3 linked regions of the Stegostoma tigrinum genome follow. The protein of the gene in region 1 purifies or fractionates together with the protein of each later gene. This does not show direct contact. Links are inferred from orthologs where the notes say so. Each region holds a gene or a part of one and is shown in the gene's direction. Other genes may lie near its edges. The genes, in order: marchf6, plin2 and sqlea.

Evidence for each region.
Region 2: the proteins of marchf6 (region 1) and plin2 purify together in Homo sapiens (affinity purification with western blotting; 3 studies listed by BioGRID). This does not show direct contact. The link is inferred for Stegostoma tigrinum from reciprocal best matches to the Homo sapiens genes MARCHF6 and PLIN2.
Region 3: the proteins of marchf6 (region 1) and sqlea purify together in Homo sapiens (affinity purification with western blotting; 4 studies listed by BioGRID and IntAct, with this or other methods). This does not show direct contact. The link is inferred for Stegostoma tigrinum from reciprocal best matches to the Homo sapiens genes MARCHF6 and SQLE.

The regions. Positions count from the first base shown.
Region 1 is NC_081355.1:23,726,891-23,734,595, forward strand, and holds the start of marchf6 (E3 ubiquitin-protein ligase MARCH6), read left to right. Parts: upstream 1-4,688; 5' UTR 4,689-4,898; coding exon 4,899-4,923; intron 4,924-7,705. UniProt on the Homo sapiens protein: Endoplasmic reticulum membrane-associated E3 ubiquitin ligase that plays a critical role in mitigating endoplasmic reticulum stress, the regulation of cholesterol and lipid homeostasis, and ferroptosis.
Region 2 is NC_081356.1:22,690,035-22,697,993, forward strand, and holds the start of plin2 (perilipin-2), read left to right. Parts: upstream 1-4,872; 5' UTR 4,873-5,049; coding exon 5,050-5,094; intron 5,095-5,277; coding exon 5,278-5,473; intron 5,474-7,959. Other genes in the region: uncharacterized protein LOC132207334, read right to left, coding at 1,635-1,688. UniProt on the Homo sapiens protein: Structural component of lipid droplets, which is required for the formation and maintenance of lipid storage droplets.
Region 3 is NC_081358.1:47,559,558-47,567,404, reverse strand, and holds the start of sqlea (squalene monooxygenase), read left to right. Parts: upstream 1-4,781; 5' UTR 4,782-4,969; intron 4,970-5,253; 5' UTR 5,254-5,473; coding exon 5,474-5,749; intron 5,750-7,847. UniProt on the Homo sapiens protein: Catalyzes the stereospecific oxidation of squalene to (S)-2,3-epoxysqualene, and is considered to be a rate-limiting enzyme in steroid biosynthesis.

The DNA.
Region 1 (7,705 bases):
GTGCTGCTATTTCCAGAGTCATCACAAAATTTAAAGTTTCCTTTTTAAATACACAGAATTTTCTGATTTTCCTGTATTTCAGACCCAGGTTGACAGAAAGACATGGACCAGGTTTCTGTACATAACAAAAATTACTATTTATTTTAATAAATATACAATAACTACAGGAATACAGTTACAAATCATCAGCATATAACTTTATTGGTTAAATCGCTAACCTCCTAATGAACTGCCCAGATATACATAGGAAAACAATATGGGTATTTAAGGTACAGGAAGAAAGCAGAATCTGCAGAACAAAAACTGCTGAGATGGTTCTTGTACTGATTAGGATGCTGTTTTTTCAGTTTTCCTTCTCTGATGCTTTAATAGCCTTCAGGAGGCATTGGGTGGCTGGTTCACAGTGTTATAAGAACTTCTATTAGACAAGATGAATTTAAAGATATTGGTATTAGTTCAATAAAATGCCAAAGAAATTAATGAAACTGAAAGTTACTAACTCCCAGGGCACGAATATCAACATCACAGGTTAATTGTAGATTAAAATCTATAAAGTGTGAATGTGAGAAAGTCCTGGTGGATTGAAGGGTTAACAATGTAATATCAATATTTAAAAATGGAGGGAGGGTGAAATCCAAGAAGTACTTACCAGTTATCCTTACATTAATATTACGGAAAATGCTAGATTCTGTTCTAAAGGATTGATCTCAGGCCAATTAAAAGTACCAAAGGAATTATGTAAAGCCAACATGGATTTATGAAAGAGAAGTTGTGTTTTGCAAACCTGCTGGAGTTTTTTGAGAATATAACTAGTGGAAAACATTAGGATGAACCAGTGGATGTGCCGTATTTTGATTTTCATGAAGCTTACCTCCTATGTTCACATCCAAAAACAGAAGTTATTGGAAAAGCTCAGCATGTCTGACAGCATCTATAAAGAAAAAATCAGAGTTAACGTTTCAGGTTCAGTGATCCTTCCTTAGAACGGAGGAAGTTCTGAGGGAGGGTCACGGGGCCTGAAATGTTTACTCTGATTTTTCCTTCACAGATGCTACCAGACCTACTGAGTTTCTCCAACAACTTCTGTTTGTGTACCTGATTTACAGCATCTGGATGTCTTTCAGTTTTCATTATTAAATGGTGAATGATTGGGAAACATTGTCCAAAAACACCTGAGTATTCTTGCGTTTAGTCTTTGAAGCCAAGCATGCAGGGGCAGCAAGCAACTGGGAAGACAAGTGATACATTGGCCTACATTGTCAAAAGGTTTGAGTACAGAAGTAATTCTAGCTACAGTCGTACTGGGCCTTGGTGAAACCACACCTCGAGTATTGTGTGTAGTTCTGCTTTTCTTACTTAAAAAAAAGATAGATTTGCCATAGAGGGAGTGCAGCAAATTTTTATCAGACTGATTCCTACAATGGCAGGTATGAGGATATATTTTCTAATAAGGCTGTTCAGAGATGCTATGACAGGCTTGTGGAGCAGACAGAACTTGAATTCAGGCTGCCTGGCCCAAAGGTAGGGGCTAGTTTCAATGTATGTGGAGATCTTGGGCCGATTGAGCCTGTACTCAATGGAGTCTAAAAGAATGAGTGAATTGCAATGAAACAAAAGAATTGCCAGGCTGGTTAGACTAGACGCAAAGTGTTTCCCCATTGTGTTTTCTCTGTTTGGAGTCAGGGGTTGTGGGGTGGGAATGTCGGGAGGGTGGGAGTAGTCACAGTCTCAGGATACACAGTAGTCCACTTCAGACTGAGATGGAAAGAATTTTCTTCACTCAGAGGCCGTGGAATTCTCTTCAATAGAAAGCTGTGGAAGCCAGGTCCCGGCATATTTTTAAGAAATAAATAGATTTCTAGAGACCAAAAGTGTCATGGAGTCTGGTGGAAGAAGAGCGGGAGTAGGGTATTGAAATAGAGGATAATCAATGATCACATTGAATAGCAGAATGATCTCTCTGGGCTGAATAGCCTGTTCCTGTTCCTATTCTCTAGGTTTCTATGATTATATGCTCAGAACTGAATTAGTTAACGTTGGAGAGTAGTAAGTGACTTAAAGTGTTACAGTTGTATAGAATGGGAACGGACCCTTTGGTCCAACTCATCCATGCCAACTAGGTATCCTAAATTAATCTACTCCTGTTTGTTAGCATTTGGGCCATATCCCTCTAAACCCTTCCTATTCAAACACCCATTCAGATGCCATTTAAATGTTGTAATCGTACCAGCCTCCACCATCTCCTCTGGCAGCTCATTCCATACATGCATCACCTTCTGCCTGAAAAAGTTGCCCCTCAGGTCCCTTTAAAATCTTTCCCCTCACACCTTAAACCTATGCCTTCTAGTTTTGGACTCCCTACCCTGGGAAAAAGACCTCGACTATTCACCCTATCTATGCCCCTCATGATTTTATGATCCTCTATAAAGTCACCCCTCAGCCTTTGACACCCCAGGGAAAACTTCCCCATCCTACTTAGATTCTCCCTCCAGTTCAAACACTTCGACCCTGACAACTTCTTTGTAAATCTTTTCTGAACCCTTTCAAGTTTAACAACTTCCCACCTATAGCAGGGAGACCAGAACTGAACATCATATTTTAAAAATGGGCTAACCAGTATCCTGTACAGCCTCAAAATGACCTCCCAACTCGTGTACTCATTGCACTGATCAATAAAGTCAAGAATACTAAATGCTTTCTTCACTACTCTGTCTACCTGTAACTCCACATGAAAGGAACTATTAACTTACCACCCCCCCCCCCCACCCCCCACCAACCAAGGTCTCTTTGTTTGGCAACACTGCCCAGGACCTTACCATTAAATGTACAAGTCCTGCCATTACTTGTCCTACCAAAACTCAGCACCTCACATTGACCTAAATTAAACTTCATCTGCCACTTCTGGGCCTATTTGCCCATCTGACCAAGGTCCCATTGTACCCTGAAGTAACCTTCTTCACCGTCAGTCACACTACCAATTTTGGTGTCATCTGCAAACTTACTGACCATACCTCGTATATTCACATCCAAATAATTTATATAAGTGACAAAAAGCAGTGGTCCTAGCATCGATCCTTGCAGCATATTGTTAGCTGCAGGGATCCAGTCTGAAAAGCAACTTAAATAGACTGCATGATAACAAAGTGTGGAGCTGGATGAACACAGCAGGCCCAGCAGCATCTCAGGAGCACAAAAGCTGACGTTTCGGATCTAGACCCTTCATCATTAAATAGACTGCACCTAAGCTTTAAATTACAGGAAAACACAGCAACATCAAATTACAGATTTAGATTACTCTAATATACAAACTCCTAGGAATATATAAAATATAGTTGTAAGTCCTAATTATGTCTCAGAAAATCTGTACTGGACACTTTTTACAAAGACTTTACATGAAAGTTCACTATATAATTTATCTTGTAATACTCTGTACCTTATCACCAATTGTTTCAGGAGAACTGAAAAGCCGGCCCTGAGTCCACAATTAATACTTAATCCCATTAAAAAAAATAACAAAGTCATGAATGTCGCCCATTTCGCTGCATGAATATATCACAGAATATGGATGTGCTTCTACGAAACTGTCTAAGGAGATGACACTGCAAAAATGTCCAAATGTAACATAAAAAGCTATGAAGCAACCGGTGTTACGATCTAATTAGCAGATACTGTGCCAATTACTTTGAAACCGGCGAGCAGAACAAACGAAAAATATTGATGCAGTTTAAGGCGCTCAAATATTTTCTCAGATATTATCTAAATTATGTATATTTATTTAACGAGCTCGGGAAGACATAAATTGTTTCCAACAGACTTTTAACTGATCTAAGTTTAAACTGCTGAAGTATTGAAAGTTTCAAAGAAGAGAAAAAAGAAATAATTTGCAATTTGCTGTAGTGAGGCCCTGAGAAGTAAATGAGTAGGAGCTGTAGACGTGGTTTTCTGTTGTTTTATGAATTCAAGATTTGAGTTAATTTGCAGAAATTCTCTGCAGTGCCTCAACTAAGACTCTTCCACTATTACAGATGAAATGGTGAGAAAACGGAAGACAAAAATGGAAAGCCGTTCTTGTTATTTCTTTTAAAGTGTTTCTCAATTCAAAATGAAACTTCATTAGAGCGACCTTACGGACTGATTTCGGTCACAGATTTACTGATGTAAAACACATCCAAGACAAAAAAAATTGTGGCCACCTAAACGCTCATCGTAAAATGCTTAATTTTAAATTTAAAAGATTAATCATCGTGCATCATAAACGCTGAACTTGCGAATTTGATGAACAGTAAGGTTGGAGTGGAAAACAAGGTGCAGGCACCGCTGGGATTCGAACCCAGGATCTCCTGTTTACTAGACAGGCGCTTTAACCAACTAAGCCACGGCGCCACGATAGCCTTTTGACTCCGAGGCTACAAGACACTGGCAGTTCCGTGTAACTACTTGAAATAGAGTAATAGATTAATGATGTGTTTTCATTCCAAGCATTTACTATACTAGTGTTAAGTTTATCGGCCTTTTGCACAGTTTCCATGTGGAAAAGGTGAGTATAATACTGTCTTTCATGTCATAATGTTTCCGAGCGCCCCCCCAGGCTCTCTGACGTGAAAAGAGCAGATTCCAAAGGAGCACGCGCAGATCCGGGCCCGGTACCCATGGAATCCGGTGTAGCAATTGTGCTGTAGTCAGGTGACCAGTCCCTGTCGGGAACTTGCCTGCGATGTCCTTTCATTCACAGAACCTGTCTCACGCACCTTTTCCTGTCGAGCAACGTCCTAGTTGACTTGGTCTCGTTGCGCAGTGTTGGGACTTCCTGATGCCTTGAATCAACATCCCCGAGATTCCTTGCACCTGTTTAAGGAAAAGAAAACACAATATAAAAAATAAAGACATTTTTAAACAAGATGTTGGAAACGCTCAGCTGGTCAGGTATGTGTATGAATTTGGCTTTCTTGCAATCACCATTTTTGATTAGAATCCAAAACATTAGCTTGCCTTTACTGGAGTCCACTGTCATGTCTTCTATTTCTAACGTCGAATAATTGCCGTTGACCTTCATTCATATGTGACGATATTGTGTCTTTAATTCCCAATAATACAGCAAATTGTAAAGAAATAACAGAGATATTGTTTAAAAATAAATGCATCTTTCTTAATATGTAGTTTAAAGAGAAAATTAGCGGTTAATGAGATCACCAACATTAAATACGCATTTGACTTTGCCCAGTTCTAGGAAGGACTCTTCTAAAAACTTAAGGCATTTTTGAATCTCTTCACCTCAATCTCATGATGTCAGCCTATCAGTGTGCTTTATACATCCTAAGGATGGTTTGCTGATAAGCTTCCAAATCAAACATCATTTAGAGTTCTTACGAACTTTTTAGTATCAGTTACAAAACCCCATATCCGTCAGATTTTGCATCAACCTGTAATAATTTGCTCTTCACGTATTCTCTGGGTATTGTGTTTTATTTCCTGTTTAAATGTTTTTAACATGACTTTTGTGTTGCACCATTAGAATTTCTGTTATCTGGCCCTTTCCTCATGTTCTCTACCTGATTGCTTTTTACAATATTTTTATGAAGTGCTTGCTTAGTATCTGGAATATGCTACCTGAGTATAATGTCAAGGCAGATTCAATTGTGACTTTAAATTGGAGAGTAAAATGAGTTGCAAGAGTTAAATATTTGTAAGACTTTTGGGGAAAAGACAGGGACTTGGTCTGGCTGAGTTGCTGTTCCAGGAGTTCCCATTGCAGAATTTTATGCCAAACATCTTCAGCAGAAATATCAATGACATTTCCTCCATCATAGGGTCAGCAAGGGAGATGTTTGTTGATGGTTCCACAACATTGCTTCAATTATTGTTTCACAGATAATGAAGTGAGACGTGGATATCACTTACCACACAATTGCCAAACAGTCATTTCTGGTAAGTTAGAATGTAACCATCTCCCCTTGACATTCATTGCCACCCCCATCAATAATACTGCACCATCCATGCCTTGGGAGTTACCATTAACCAGAGACTGAATTGGACCAATCATGTAAATACTTTAGCTATAAAACAGGTGAGAAGATGGGAATTCAGCAGTGAATAATTAACATCCTGATTCTTCAAAGTCAATCCAACATATACAAGAGATAAATGATAAGTGTAATAAAATACACCTGGTTGAGTGCAGTTGCCACAACACTGAAAAACCTGTACACCACTTGGATCAAATTTGTCCATGTGATTAGTCTATATCGACAGCCTAAAATATTCCCTTCAACACTGGTACACAGCAACAGCAGTGTCTATCATCTACAAGACACATACAAAAACAGTGCCTTCCAAACCCATGGCCTCTCCATCCCAAAGGAATAAAACAATAGATGCATGGGTCAAAATCCTGCATTGTATATACCTAAAAAAAGAGAGTGAATTAGAATTGGAGAATAAATGCTGACATTGCCAGTGTCCACATTACATGACAAAATTTCTAAATGCTTTGAGAATTATGTTTTGTTTTCAGTTACTTCTGTTTTTCACTTCATTTGGTTGTCCTAATATCATTTTGTCCAGCTGTTTGGCAGTGATTTTCAAACTTTTTTGAGTGGTGGATTGCTGTCGAGCTCTGATACACATCATGACACCTGGGTCCAATTCCCCCTATCTCTCTCTCTCCTTTCTATATTCTAACAGCATGCGTCACCATGTGAAGAAAAGGTGTTCTTTCATTCCAGAACATGTTTTATATGTATGGTAAGACCAATGTGTCAGATGTGAAAACACATAAAAACACATGGTATGTTGAAACTGGACATAAAGATATAGGTTATGCCTTGCTATCCCTGGAACCATAGTTGTCCAGTAATCCAGCAACAAATGAAGAAGGGTAATGAACAGATAGAAATACTGTAATCTCTAGCAGTATACAGGGGCTCCCTGGCAGCTTGCGAATGATATCATCCAAATCAGGCTACTTCTCACAGGTTGTTTAATTAAAGAAGGAAGCCTCCACAGTTTCTGATGTGATCTTGGGATCTTCTGGACTAATAATTGCTTAGTAGTATATCATTTAAACATTAACAATTGACATGAAATCAAAACTTTGCATCTTGCACTCATCAGGACTAAAATGCAATGAAATTCCATTTGGAATGTGTATAACAATTTATATAGCATGAGAAGAGGATGCTGACTAGCTGTTAGCATGGGAAAGCTGCATGAAACGTTCACTGTCACGGTTAGTTAATTGGTTAAATTCAACCTAGGTAAGTCAATTCAGATTGGTCAGATTGTAGCCTTAGGGGCACAGGAGGGATCGACTATCACCAAAGCTAACTGTCCCCATTCAAAATTGTGCAATATATGGAACATGTTCATGTGTAGACAAAGAACAATACCCTGTGTATGGAAAAACATATCTTCTGATTCGTGCAAATGAATCACAGAATCTGACTGAAACTTGTTTCCGAGTTAAGATTAATTTTTAGCAGGTGTTAGGACTTTTTATTCATATTGTTATGCATTACATCCAATAGCAGAATCACACCTAATGTTGGACACCATGTTCAGAGTTTTGCAAGCATGGACTGGTTGACCACAGTTGACAGTGCAGCCCACTGCACTGCAAAAGGCCAAGGCACATACAGTTTGATATAATCCACTAGTTTTTGCAAAGGCCTACATGCCTGGCAATGCACTGTCATAAACTCATTCCATA
Region 2 (7,959 bases), on another chromosome or scaffold:
TTAAAAATGTCCATTGACATAGGTTCTGTGCAACCTGAGTCAGTTGAATCATTAAATTTATTTGCAGCGGTAATTTCCTCGAGGAATGCCTGCTTATTGTTTTGAATGAAGTTACATCATTGATTGTGGCTTTTATTTTTGTTCGAGTGGCCTGACTACACTAATTAAGGCCAAGCATTTAGCTTACGGCATCACCAAGATTTCTTCTACAGATCTTCGGGAAATGAGTTTCAGAATTACCAATATTGCATTCTTTTGCTATGCCTGTAACTGTGATGCTTTGTTTAACCTCAACACTCACAGAGGCACTTGATATCTGCTGTTTGGCTTACAGTCTATGGTGGTGAGTCACTTGCCCCTTTAGCATATCCATACATTAAGAATTGAATAAGTCCAGTTGCTCTACTGTGATATGTCATTGTTCTCGTCTCAGAATCAATCCCTGAGTCTTCCCTGGATTCTAGTTAGCATAATTTTAATAGCTTTCTCTAAAGTAAAATCTTCCATGAACTGTAAGAAATCTGACAAAGGTTCATTAATAATCCAAAAAAAATTCAATATCTACTTATCTCTTATTTCAAAGTCACAGCTTTCATCTAATCTTTAGAGGTTGTTAATGAAATTATCTACCAATTCCTCTGTAAGTGCACTGTCCTGTTAAATCTAGCCTGTTCAAGAGTTTTATGAACTGTCAGATTTAAGTAATTATCAGAGCTTTTAAAACTTTGTCACAAGTATCTGTCTCTGCCTCAATATTATTTCAATTTGTAATGCCAGCTGCATGAATTAACTTGTTTAGCTTCAGAATAACATTTTAATTTTGAAGCAATTCTGTATTTTAAAAGATGTTCTTTCCAAGATATTCTTCTAAGTGTTCTGTTTGGTCCATCTCTTACACTGAATCATTTTGTAAGCGTCTGTTGTCTTCAAACTTGTTTTCTTGCAATAAATCAATGTTGCTTACATTATATTGTCTTAAAGTTGGCTTCACACTTTTAATCTGTGTTAAAGTTACATGAATTGTTTCCAATAAATCTGTAAATACTGTTAAGTAACAACACTGTATTGTGTTATCTCGTTATACTGCTTGCTGAGAATATTCCTGCCTATTTTAATGATCAAAATTGTCATTCCCATCTTCGAGAACATTTTCCTATGTTTAGTAGATAGGTCTTTTTTTCTTTTCTCTTCCTGGGTAAATTGGATGATTTCTTGCTTTTCATGGCCCAAACACAAAGCATGATGTTTTGAAGTAAACTTCTTTGACTGCAGTCTTAACAAGTCTTCACATCGAAATCATTGTTTACATTACAAATGTCCCAATTTCATTAAAGTATTAAAATTCTTCTAACTTTCATCTATCAGACCCTTCAAATTTTTGAAATCTTCCATTGTACCACCATTGTCAAATTCTATGGCCTTTACAATATTACAGCCCAATGTAAATTATTTTTCCTGTTCTTTGTATCTGTGTGACATGGAGCCTGCTCAGGATTTAGCCATGCTCATAGTGAAAGATGAGAACTGTTTTACACTCCTGCCTAATTTCTGTGCAAAGTTTGTAACCATTTCCTTCCTTTCCCTTTGGTATCTCTAAATTTATTGATGGAATCTTCAATTACTCCCTGACCAACCTCCTTCTCTGAAGTTCCATTGTGGGCTAGCTTCTTTTTCTCAGCCCATGCCATTTTGCCTGTGGCCCTTACCAGATTATGAAGTGAGTGTTTTCTTCCAAGAAAACTACATTTGTCCTGCTGCACCTCACATGACTGTTTCTATTGGTCAATTATCACAGTCTGGCTGCTGAATGGCTCAGTGTTTTCCTAAAGCAGTGATGTTCTTGAAGTGGTAAAGTCACTTCTTTGCTCACCAGAAAAATGGAATCTACATTGCTGCTCACTATGTCATAACGGATTCTGGGTACACTACATTGGCAGCTGATGGTTGGTGTTATTCGCTGACACCAATCTTCCTTTCTATATGGACACCAAGGGTCTGTCCAATTATAAAGATTGCAAATGAACCACTAGAGAGTATTAATTAGAAGAGACACATGCCTTGCATTTCAAAATATATTTAATTGCATGATAAAAATAAATACAATTAACATTAAGCACCCTGGCACAATCACAACCATCAGGAGCCAGGTCTGTCGTATCAGACTTCCTCAGGGCCCCACACAAGACTACTGTTTCTCCATCCAAAGACTGTGTCACATTATCAAATTGGGTAGAGCTATGCAACATCAACATTAATGTTTTCAGAACTATTAACTTATACAATAAATGAGACATGATTCATATTCCAACAGCACTTTTACTCTGACAATTTTTCAGTTTGATTTGAAGTATTAATATGTTGTCCCCGTACTTGAGTTCCCACCAGTTACACCAGTGTTGAGTCCCCACTGAAATCTACCTCTGTTTCTGCCAAAGTTCAAGAGATCAGGAATGCGGTGAGGATGGGCCTTTGACAGCTTGTTCAATCAGCAGCAGAAATTCACAGGATTACTAGGGATCCCCTTGAATGGCAACATGGTTTTGTTTTACAGGGGCACTGGATCAGCTGGGTACAACAAATACTTAAATATTCTGGGACAGTTGGTTAGGTGCTCAAGAAAGCATATTTACAAAGAAAACTGACTGATTTTCCTCCATTTGAAACAGAGACTCCCCTCCCCTATCAAGTATAAAACGGCAAGTTGTCAAATGTTTGACATTTGACATACTTACACAAGTTTATTGATGGACAACTTTGTTCACATCCTCAAATACATTGCACCATTTCCAACAAACATTGTGATCGTCAAGTACCTGCCCTATCAAGTATAAAACGGCAAGTTGTCAAATGTTTGACATTTGACATACTTACACAAGTTTATTGATGGACAACTTTGTTCATATCCTCAAATATTTTGCACCATTTCCAACAAACATTGTGATAGTCAAGTACACTAAAAGTTAATCTCTGTACAAAGATTAAAATTGTGCAGTTATTTATTAGCTCACAGTTTTACTTCTGATAGTCTTTTCTAGAACCTAAAAATGTGTAAAAACTGTTATCTGATTTCATTTAATTACATGTACAGTAAATTATGTTTCTTGGTAGCTTTAAAAGCTGTATCCACAACACAATGAATCATTAAGTTTGTAAATGGAACCGTGATGGACCTTAAGATATCATAGCCTCGACTGCTAGGAAATTAGTTTATTCACCAAAATTAGTTTATTCGATAACTCCAACCATTAGCTGTCAATGTAGTGTACCCAGAATCCAACATGACATAGCGAGCAGCAATGTGGATTTCATTTTCATGATGAGGACAAGGGCAGCAGATATATGGGAACACCACGACCTTCAAGTTTCCCTCAAGCCACTCACCACCCTGACTTGGAAATATATCGCTGTTCCTTCACTGTTGCTGGGTCAAAATCCTGGAATTTCCTCCCTAATGGCATTGTGAGTCAAGGCACAGCAGGTGGACTGCAGCTGTTCAAGAAGGCAGTTCACCAGCACCTTCTCAAGTGCAGGTAGGGATGGGCAATAAATGCTGGCTGGCCAGCCAGCGATGTCCACATCCCACAAATGCCTGGGAAAAAAATGTGTATGTCTTCATTTAATGAACACGCTGCTAATGCAGAACATTTCAAACAGCCTTTCCTACATTGTATCAGTAACTACAATTCAATATGACATATTTGGCTCTAAAATATCTTCGGGCAGCAGGTGAGTGCATGGAATGAACTGGCAGAGGAAGTGGTTCAGGCTGGTATAATTACAACATTTAAAAGGCATCTAAGATGGGTATACAAATAGGAAGTGTTTAGAGGGATATGGGCCAAATATTGGCAAACAGAACTAGATTAATTTTGGATATCTGGTTGGCATGGACGAGTTGGACCAAAAGGACTATTTTCCACACTGTATAGCTTTATGACTCAATGATGGACATTGCTTACCTGTTATTGCGCAGGCAGAAATATAAGCACCATCAGAAGTTCCTCATTGAATCCCTACGGTGTGGAAGCAGGCCATTCAGCCCATTAATACCACACCTCTGAAGAACATTCCACTCAGACCCACCCTCTAGACTATCCCTGCAGTCCCCATGCCTACTCTTACGAGTCCCTGGACACTGGCAATTTTGCACGGCTGTAGGAGGTAACTGGAGAACCCGGAGGGGAGCCATGCAGGCATAGCAAAGGCTACACGAGCTTTGTCTCGTTCTTTTAGGTTCATAGACATGAATTTGTCCCTCACCGCCTTACACATCTTTTGGGGGCTGCCAGAAGATAACTTCAACATGGGAAACATTCCGCACTTAAACATTGGCAAAAGTTGTCTGCTGAAAGAGGCAGTGGAAATATAGACGAAAATGAACTCAGCAGCTTTTTTTCCCCCCCAAATGCGCTCCGGATAGACGTGCTGCGGCTGGAATTTGCATGGTCTGACGTCATTGGGTAGGCTTTCCGGGAGGGAGCAAACCCTTTTGAACCGGCGCAAGTGGAGCAGGAGGTGGGTGTAATGGGAGCGGGTCGGGGGCTAATCGGTATAACTGGGTTGGGTGGGGGGAGTGCGTGTGTTGTTTCCGAATAAATACTGGCAGGAAGACGCTTGTTCACTTGCTGTTACGCCCCATGAAACATTGGTAATTTCTGTCCTGATTAAGCCCTGACGTGGCTGCGATTCTCGGTTGTTAATAATTGTGTGAACGGTGAGCTCTGAATCGGGGCGAAGGGATGGGCAAAGCAGCTCGGATTCACGCGAAGCTCTTTTGTTCTGAAACTCGATTTCATTTTTTTTAATGCAGAGCGGAAGCCATGGCCTCAATAGTGGAAGTACCGCAGGTACACTTTTTCTCTCCTGTTCCCGGTTGGAAGTGTGTTTAGACCTGGAAAGCAACTCTGTATTTGCTAATGCTGACTAACCGTAACTGAACCTGCTGATCTAATGTGTTGGTTTTCACTAACGTTCCCTAACTGCTCAGTAGATTCGAACTCGAGTAACGTCTCAATCCGGTTGATCCCTGTCTGCTGACTTCTCTCGGGAATGCCTGGAACTCCCTTCCCTGTGAGGACTTGGGATAGGCTGAAGGTGATCTGAAAGTGTGGGGAAAGAGTGTGATTTTGTTGCTTTTCTTTTCCACGCCACTAACAGAGCTCTCTTTCCCCTTAAGTGACAGGAACTGAACTGGCATGTAAATACAAAGTCTCAAATGCAGATTATTGGTGGGGGAAAAAAAAACTATATTCACTCTAGTTTTTGTTTTTTCGTTAGAACGTGGTTGTTCGGGTGACTAACTTGCCGTTTCTCAGCACTGCCTATGATATGATGACATCTGTGTATGGCAGCACGAAGGAAAATCACCCCTATCTGAAGTCTTTGTGTGAAGTTGCAGAGAAAGGTGTAACTGTCGTTTCATCTGTAGCCATCACCAGTGCTACACCAATACTTCAGAAATTGGAACCACAAAGTAAGAATGTTCTCCTTTGCCCGCTTAGTCTTGATCCTTTTGAAGTCTATTATAATCTCACTAAGATCGATTTCAAGCAGAAGGAATGAAACTATTACTGAATAAACAAGACATATGCAAGCTATAACTTATAATTGCGTATTGCTGTGGGTGTGAGTGATAATGGGAACAGCAGATGCTGGAGAATCCAAGATAATAAAATGTGCGGCTGGATGAACACAGCAGGCCAAGCAGCATCTCAGGAGCACAAAAGCTGACGTTTCGGGCCTAGACCCTTCATCAGAGAGGGGGATGGGGAGAGGGAACTGGAATAAATAGGGAGAGAGGGGGTGGTGGACCGAAGATGGAGAGACAAGAAGATAGGTGGGGAGGGGATAGGTCAGTCCAGGGAATACGGACAGGTCAAGGAGGCGGGATGAGGTGGTAGGTGGGAAATGGAGGTGCAGCTTGACGTGGGAGGAAGGGTTGGGTGAGAGGAAGAACAGGTTAGGGAAGCGGAGACAGGCTGGGCTGGTTTTGGGATGCAGTGGGCGAGGGGAAGAACTGGGCTGGTTTCAGGATGCGGTGGGGGTAGGGGAGATTTTGAAGCTTGTGAAGTCCACATTGATACCATTGGGCTGCAGGGTTCCCAAGCGGAATATGAGTTGCTGTTCTTGCAACCTTCGGGTGGCATCATTGTGGCACTGCCAGAGGCCCATGATGGACATGTCGTCTGAGGAATGGGAGGGGGAGTTAAAATGGTTCGCGACTAGGAGGGGCAGTTGTTTCTTGCGAACCGCGCGAAGGTGTTCTGCAAAGTGGTCCCCAAGCCTCCGCTTGGTTACCCCAATGTAGAGGAAGCCACACCGGGTACAATGGATACAATATACCACATTGGCAGATGTGCAGGTGAACATCTGCTTGATATGGAAGGTCATCTTGGGGCCTGGGATAGGGGTGAGGGAGGAGGTGCGGGGGCAAGTGTAGCACTTCCTGCGGTTGCAGGGGAAGGTGCCGGGTGTGGTGGGGTTGGAGGGGAGTGTGGAGCGGAAAAGGGAGTCAGAGAGAGAGTGGTCTCTCCGGAAGGCAAATAAGGGTCGGGATGGAAAAATGGCTTGGATGGTGGGCTCGGATAGTAGATGGCGGAAGTGTCGGAGGATGATGCATTGTATCTGGAGGTTGGTGGGGTGGTATATGAGAATGAGGGGGATCCTCTGGGGGCGGTTGTGGCGGGGGCGGGGTGTGAGGGATGTGTTGTGGGAGACGCGGTCAACGGCATTCTCGACCACTGCGGGGGGTAAGTTGCGGTCCTTGAAGAATGTGGACATCTGGGATGTGCGGGATTGAAATGCCTCATCCTGGGAGCAGATGCGGCGGAGGCAGAGGAGTTGGGAATAGGGGATGGAATTTTTGCAGGAGGGTGGGTGGGAGGAGGTGTATTCTATGTAGCTGTGGGAGTCGGTGGGCTTGAAATGGACATCATTTCTAGCTGGTTGACTGAGAGGTCCAGGAAGGTGAGGGATGTGTTTGAGATGGCCCAGGTGAACTTGAGGTTGGGGTGGAAGGTGTTGGTGAAGTGGGGTGAGCTGTTTGAGCTCCTCTGGGGAGCAAGAGGTGGCGCCGATACAGTCATCAATGTAACGGAGGAAGAGCTGCGGTTTGGGGCCTGTGTAGGTCTACCTATCTTGTATTCTCTCCATCTTCGGACCGCCTCCCCCTCTCTCCCTATTTATTCCAGTTCCCTCTCCCCATCCCCCTCCCTGATGAAGGGTCTAGGCCCGAAACGTCAGCTTTTGTGCTCCTGAGATGCTGCTTGGCCTGCTGTGTTCATCCAGCTCCACACTTTGTTATCTTGCTGTGGGTGTGGTCAGGTTGTAGTGTTCACTAAATATTTGTATTTGGCATGAGTCAGAAAGTGTCAACAAATGCCATCAGTTTCAGTATCGAACCACTTCTCTACAGGAAGATGCTTTAAGCTCCTGCCCTTTTGCCTATTTGTGGAGTGGCGACTTGATGAATTGCACTTCTATTTTACCTTTCACCTAGTTCAGATGTATAAATAAACCAGGCTAATAAATTGTTAGAGATAGTGGTAGTTGCCGATGCTGGAGAATTTGAGATAACATGGTGTGAAGCTGAATGAACACAGCAGGCCAGGCAGCATGAGAGGAGCAGGAAAATTTACTGAAGAAGGGTCCTGGCCTGAAACGTCTAGCTTTCCTGCTCCTCTGATGCTTCTTGGCTTGCTGTATTCATCCAGCTTCACACCATGTTATCTCAGGCTAATAGATTTCTTGGAATAGCTTGTTGAATGCAGTATGTTTATTCAACTCTGGCACAAAATAAGCCTTTTTTGAGTGTTACCATTTATTCTACAGATTTTAAAAATTGCAGATTTTCAGTTATCAACAATGCTATAGATAGACACTTTTGAGAATCATATGCATGAAATTAAGCTTAATACTGCTGATAAATAGCTTCTATCGAAGATTAGATTCCCTACAGCG
Region 3 (7,847 bases), on another chromosome or scaffold:
GTTTAGAGAAATTGGGACTGTTTTCACAGACACGAGAAGGCAAAGAGGAAATCTGATACAAGTTTTCAAAATGATGAGTTGTCTGGACAGTGTGGGTATGGAGAATCAGTTCCCACTTATGAACAGGATAAGAACAGAAGGGACACAGCAGGCCAAGCAGCATCTTAGAAGCACAAAAGCTGACGTTTTGAGCCTTGACCCTTCATCAGAAAAGGGGGATGGGGAGAGGATTCTGAAATAAATAGGGAGAGAGGGGGAGGCGGACCGTAGATGGATAGAGGAGAAGATAGGTGGAGAGGAGAGTATGGGTGGGGAGGTTGGGAGGGGATAGGTCAGTCTGTGGAGGACAGACAGGTCAAGGGGGAGGGATGAGGTTAGTAGGTAGAAAATGGAGGTGCGGCTTGAGGTGGGAGGAGGGGACAGGTGAGAGGAAGAACAGGTTAGGGAGGCGGGGACGAGCTGGTTTTGAGATGCAGTGGGAGGAGGGGAGATTTTGAAGCTGGTGAAATCCACATTGATACTATTGGTCTGCAGGGTTCCCAAGCGGAATATGAGTTGCTGTTCCTGCAAACTTCGGGTGGCATCATTATGGCACTGCAGGAGGCCCAGGATGGACATGTCGTCTATAGAATGGGAGAGGGAGTTACAATGGTTTGTAACTGGGAGGTGCAGTTGTTTATTGCGAACCGAGCGTAGGTGTTCTGCAAAGCGGTCCCCAAACCTCCGCTTGGTTTCCCCAATGTAGAGGAAGCCACAATGGGTACAGTGGATGCAGTATACCACATTGGCAGATGTGCAGGTGAACATCTGCTTAATATGGAAAGTCATCTTGGGGCCTGGGATGGGGGTGAGGGAGGAGATGTGGGGGCAAGTGTAACACTTCCTGCGGTTGCAGGGGAAAGTGCCGTGTGTGGTGGGGTTGGAGGGGTGTGTGGAGCGGACAAGGGAGTCGCACAGAGAGTGGTCTCTCCAGAAGGCAGACAAGGGTGGGAGTGGAAAAATGTCTTTTGTAGTGGGATCGGATTGTAGATGGCGGAAGTGTCGGAGGATGATGCATTGTACCCGGAGGTTGGTGGGGTGGTATGTGAGGACTAGGGGGATTCTCTTTGGCCGGTTATTGCAAAGGAGGGATGTGAGGGATGAGTTGCGGGAAATGCGGGTGACACAGTCGAGGGCGTTCTCAACCACCTCCACCTGGCATTTTCCCCTGCAACCGCAGGAAATGCTACACTTGCCCCCACACCTCCTCCCTCACCCCCATCCCAGGCCCCAAGATGACTTTCCACATCAAACAGATGTTCACCTGCACATCCGCCAATGTGGTATATTGCATCCGCTGTACCCGGTGTGGCTACCTCTACATTGGGGAAACCAAGCAGAGGCTTGGGGACCGCTTTGCAGAACACCCACGCTTGGTTCGCAATAAACAACTGCACCGCCCAGTTGGGAACCATTTTAACTCCCCCTCCCATTCCTTAGACGACATGTCCATCCTGGGCCTCCTGCAGTGCCATAATAATGCCACTCATAGGTTGCAGGAACAGCAACTCATATTCTGCTTGGGAACCCTGCAGACCAATAGTATCAATGTGGATTTCACCAGCTTCAAAATCTCCCCTCCTCCCACTGCATCCCAAAACCAGCCCATCTCATCCCCGCCTCCCTAACCTGTTCTTCCTCTCACCTATCCCCTCTTCCCACCTCAAGCCACACCTCCATTTCCCACCTACCAACCTCATCCCGCCCCCTTGACATGTCCATCCTCCCTGGACTGACCTATCCCCTCCCTACCTCTCCACCTATCTTCTCTCCATCTTCAGTCCGCCTCCCCCTCTCTCCCTATTTATTCCAGAACCCTCTCCCCATGCCCCTCTCTGATGAAGGGTCTAGACCCAAAACGTCAGCTTTTGTGCTCCTAAGATGCTACTTGGCCTGCTGTGTTCATCCAGCTCCACACTTTGTTAGCTGAATATTTATGGTCTAGTCATAAAACCCACCCCACTAAATGTGGTGGGAAGGTGGAAAAGTACAAAGGGGAGGATAAGAATTACAGTGTGGAGGTAAGGGGCTCACGCATTGTTTAAAGCGCAGAGGATGGCATTCCTACATTGCACACATTGCGGGGACAAGTGACTGACACATTGCGGGGACAAGTGACTGACACATTGGCCTCAATATTAACTTCCTGTTGATATTCAGGAAGTAAGGGAGTTAGAGAGAAAGCGTCAAACTGCAGGGACAGAAGCTGTTTGGCCTAATGTGTCTGCATCACTCGTATCTCTTCTAAAATAAACAAAGTACAATGGATGTTGGAGATCTGAAATAAACAAAAATAAGGAGCCAGAGGTTTAAATGGAATTTGAGGAAAATGTTTTTCACCCTATGATAGTAGGTACCTGTAATTCATTGCTGAAACAATGGTAGAGTCATAGCATATAAGACTATAGGCCAAGTCAAAAATGGGATTAGAATAGAGAAAACAGAGTTAATGTTTCATATCTAGTGACGCTTCTTCAGGTAGATTAACTGTTAATGAAACATTAATTCTGTTTTCTTTTCACGGATGCTCCTGGACCTGCCGAGTTTCTCCAGATTTTTTTTAATGCATCTATTCTAATCCCATTTTCGAGTGCTTGGCCTACAGTCTTGTATGCTGTGGCATTTCAAGTGTTCATCTAAATAATTTGTAAATGTGTTCATAGTTTTTGACTCTTCTATTCTTTCAGCAATGAATTTATAAATACCTACTACCTATCGGGTGAAAAACATTTTCTTCAAATTCCTTCCAAACCTATTGTTCCTTATTTTAAAGCTGTGCTCCCTGGTGATTGACCTCCCGACTAAGATGAAGCATTTGTCCTGTCTATGTGCATTTCAATCACATCCACCACCTCAATTTTCTTTCTCTGGGAAATAACCTCAGCCTATCTTGTCTCTCTTCACAGTTGAAACACTCCAGCCCAGACAACATCATGATGAATCTCCCCTGCACCATCTCTCACCCTTCCTTATGATACCCATGAATGCTTTTGCAATAGCCTCTTCACTCCCCTGATTCCTCTGTTTTAAGCAACAACTTACACTTTCTGTACTTCTCAAGGGCCTATTTTGAGCCTTTGGTATCTAACATAAGATTCCTTTCTCTCTAATCCAATCCAATACATCTCTTGACATCTGGGTTCTCTGCACCTGTGTATCCAACCCTTCGCTTTTACTGGAACATGTTGGTCTGTAATCTCACGATTACTTTTTGATTGTTTCCCAATGCTCTGATTATTTCATAGAATGGCAGAACAGACTTGATGGGCTGCATGTCTCACTTCTGGTCAGATATCTTGTAGACTTATGTGGGTGAATAGAGAACGTGACTTCAAAGTGTGGCAAAAGCACTTGTTGTTTTCATTGCAAGGGTTTGTTGATAAAGGGGAATACTTCATTAGTGCGTTGAATGCGTCTATGTGGTGAGGACTTTCCCCTTGTGGACGAGCCTAGAATCAGGTCTTCCACTTACGATGGTGAGTTTCTTTTGGAATTTAGAATACCCACATGGGAAAAAGGACATTGAGTCTGTACCAACACTCTGAAGAGCATCCCAGCCAGATCCAGCACCCCACCCTACCCCCATAACCCACATTACCGTGGTTAACCCATGTGGCGTGACCATCCCTTGACACTATGGGGATATTTAGCATGACCAATCCACCCAACCTGCACATCTTCGGACTGTGGATGGAAACTGGAACACTTGGAGGAGACCCAAACACACCATATGCAAACTTCACACAGAATCTCACCCAAGTGCAGTTCTGATCACTGAGCTACTGTGCCACTCCTTAGGGGATTGTCAGCCTGTGGAACTCATTTATTTTGACTTTATTTATTGTCACATTTATATTGCTACAAAATACAGTAAAAAACACCACCTTAAAACACAGAAAAATAAACCAAAACATAGAATATAAAGGCAAAATAGAGATAAGTATAAAGTATTCAACTTTACAGTCCTTATTAAGTCAGAGATAGTGGAAACTGCCGATGCTGGAGAATCTGAGATAAGGTGTAGAGCTGGATGAACACAGCAGGCCAAGCAGCATCAGAGGAACAGGAAGGCCGACTTTTCGGGCCTCGACCCTTCTTCAGAAGAGTTAAACAAATGTTTATTACAGATAAAGGGTTATGGGGTTGGTGGAGTGAGGCATGGTGTGAAGGAACAGGAGGCAGACAGGAATGTGGAGGAAGAGCACAGCAGGTCAGACAGCGACAGAGGGGCAGGAAAGTTGGCTTTTCGGTTCGGGACTCTTCATTAGAATCTGTTCCTCTGATGCTGTCTGACCTGCTGCACAGGTCGGCTCCACGTTATCGACTCCGACATCCAGCATCCACAGTCCTCACGATCTCCATGGAATGTGGAAGAGCTGAGCCCACAGTAAGATGAAGCAAGGTGAGATTGAAAGGCAGAGCAGGCTCAAAAAGGGGAGTGTAATGGCTCACTCAGTGATTGCTGTTGCTTTGGGGACAAACTGTCACACAACGCTATGGAGAGGGGAGCCTGATTGAATTGACGCGTGACAGAAGGATGCTATTGTTGCGGCTCCCTCTTTGTGACATCACATCATGCTAGGAGACGGGAGAAGGCGGGCCCTCCCTGGGACTGGCCCTCATTGGACAGTCCCCGGATAGCGTGAGCTCAGCTCACCGGCACGCCGGGTCTTGATTGGTGCAGAGCCTCGACAGGCAGCAGGACTGAGGGGGCGGGACCACGTTGTTACTCCGCAGCTTCATTCACATCTTGTTACATCCCGGCTACCGCCAGGCATCAGGAGAGACAGGCAAGGAGATACAGAACGGAGTCCTGTCTTGGACTATTTCCTAGCACACTGCCATCTCCTCACTCCGGGAAGCAAAGAGTCATTACCCGGGAACAAAAACAACAAACAAAACAAAAAAATGCTGCAAACATAACAGTAAGGTTACTGAAAATGCTTTTCTACTGTCAGATACTGAAAACTGATGGGCCGACTCGCCGCTTTCTGAGCTCCATAATTTTTTTATTATCATCATATTGGCCTCTTGAATTCATCTTATAAGGGATAACCGAAGTATGGATTTATTTTAAAAAATCATCAAATAATAAATCTGAGATTATAACCCCCGACTTGAATTTAACAAAAAAAGGTGTATTGTATTTGTTGGACTGTGGAAAAATTGTATTTCTCTGCCTATTTGAATTACGTTTCTCTTTTCCTTCCACAGCAATCAGCCGAGGATGAAGTGAAGATCATTTACGGGATAATTAAGAGAAAAATCAATGTGAACGTCTTTTGAACCTTTCCGTGAAGGAGTGTACCAAATCATACTTTAATTTTGTATTTATGTTCTAGGGTTGCTTTGAGATTAAAAAAAATTGTTTGGACTCTAATGGAACATTAGTGCAGTTCAATTAAATTTGAGGAGAGAACTTCTATATTAAAAAATGTGGACTTTCCTGGGAATTGCGACGTTTACTTATGTCTATAAGAAATGCGATGACTTACTAAGCGTGAGCTACGCTAACAAGGAGGTGCTCGGGGCATTCCTGGTCTTTTTCTCCCTAGGGTTGATCCTGTCCTATCGATACAGATACGGACAAGGGAAAGGCAGAAAGCAAGCTTCGAACCTGGGGTTCATCTCCCAGCTTCTCTCAGCCCTGCCTCTGGCAAGCTCCCTCTTCAGCGGGCCCACAGACTCGATCAATACCGAGCAAGGCAAGGTAGGTACAGGATGACCAGTGGTCATTGTTATAACTAGCAAAAAGAAACATGCCTTATTATTATTCATATGGTGGATTTTTTTTGTGACAATGTATTGACGATTGCTAAATATGCTGTAAGATCTGCCCAAACCAATTGCAGTTTCTAATTTAATAACAAATTGCTGAACAGAACGCCGGTACAGTAAAACATTTCAAATCTGTTTTGAAACTTTCTATTGATTCAATAATTATGAATTTGGTGGCATATTTCCACATTAGTATTTCTCTACTAGTTGTAAAATCAGTTCGTTATCCAATCTTTGGCTGTTTTGTTTAAAGAAGGAAATGACTTGAAAGAATTGTAGTATACTGGCAAAATTCGAAGAACGGTTTAAAAATAGAAAAAAAAACGTTTAGAATATGAAATCATTAAGCAAAATCGTGTTCACCACGCATTAACTATAGTAAATGGCGAATGAGGCTTTGACTATTTCTTTAGATATTTTGAAATATTTTGAGTCAACCTAAAGATCTAAAGATAGAAATGTTTAAACTTGACTATGCTATAAGACGTTTTTAATGATAAGAATATTGGTTTTCTTTATCCATAACAAAACTGGCACATAAACTCAAAAATAACAATTCAAATGTACTGCTGCCTTGTTAATTATTAAATGTCATTCAGAGGCAACAATTGAATAGTAACTGAGATGATGTCTGCATCGACAGTTCGGTGTACAGTGAGGACAAGCCAGTGTTGCCAAGATAAACAGACATTTTTATCCAACATTTGATACAATAATTGAATATTTATGTTGAAATTGTAACATTGTATTACAAAATAGATTAAAGATTAACAACTCGTTCTTGTTAAAGCTATAAAATTTGCCCTGAAGCGCTGCGTAAATAAATAAATGAAGGGAAACACATGCTCATGCAGGAAGGTTAGGATTCTTTGGATCATCAGAAAGGTTGATCAAAGAGGTGCGTTTAGATATTTTTAACAGTGACAAAGCTGCTAGAAGGATTTTCAGGCGAAGGTCAAATGATCAGCTGAAGAAACTAACATACAGGGGTATGGAAAAAAGAATGTGTGGGACAGGGTGAACTGCTCTTACAAAAAGCTTGCAGGGCCACATTGGGCTGTATGGCAACCATACTATAATCCCATGAGTAAGGACGAAGAAGCGGACCATCACTGAAAGGATGAGGGATTGCAGTTAGAATCTTTTCCTAATTCAAAACTGCTAACAAAGATTTTTAATGATATTCAATAATATGGAGATTATGTTTAAGATTTTAAAATAATGGACACGTGAATGATCTATTTGAAAAAGGTTAAAATTTAGATAACGCTCGTGGGTTGAAATCTGTTTGGTAGGATCATTTTTGAGAGTGATTGGCATCACTAAAGCATTTTGTCATATTATGCCTTGTACATCTAATGGGAATTATACAATCACATCATTGTGTAAAATGTAATAATTACACATTTTAGTTTTCATTTCAGTATATTCAAAATGGAGTAGAGCACAGTTCCGAATGCTTCTTAAATGGTGATGTGAATTAGCAGCAGGGTATGCAATGAGGCATTTCTATTCACATTCTAGCTAAAATCTGTGAAAAGGCTAGGCTGCAGTGCAGTGTTTAACTTGAGCTATACAAATCCTAGCTCTTTTATTATAACATCTGGAATTTAAAACTATTCAAAATATATGTTGTGTTGTTAATGTTAAGTTTTGATCTTGAAAACCACTTTCTAAATTTCTCTCATCCACTTCTTGAAATATTGACTCTGATTTTAAAAAGTGCATTCATATAACATCTTTCCTGACTTCAAGATGTTCTAAAATACTGTACAGTCAGTAAAGCTCTTTTGAAGTGAGACCACTGTTGTAATGTAAGAAACAAGTTGACATGTTTTGCGTAACAAACTGGTACAGGTAGTAAAAAGTTAAATGATCAAATATTACTAATAACAATCAGATAAATCTTAAAGATGTTAGTTGAGGGACGAATATTATTAAGGACTCTAGGGAGAGCTCCCCTGTCTTCTTCAAATTTGTATCATGGGATCCCTTACACTTGGGAACTCAGATAGGGGTGTTGGTTGAAC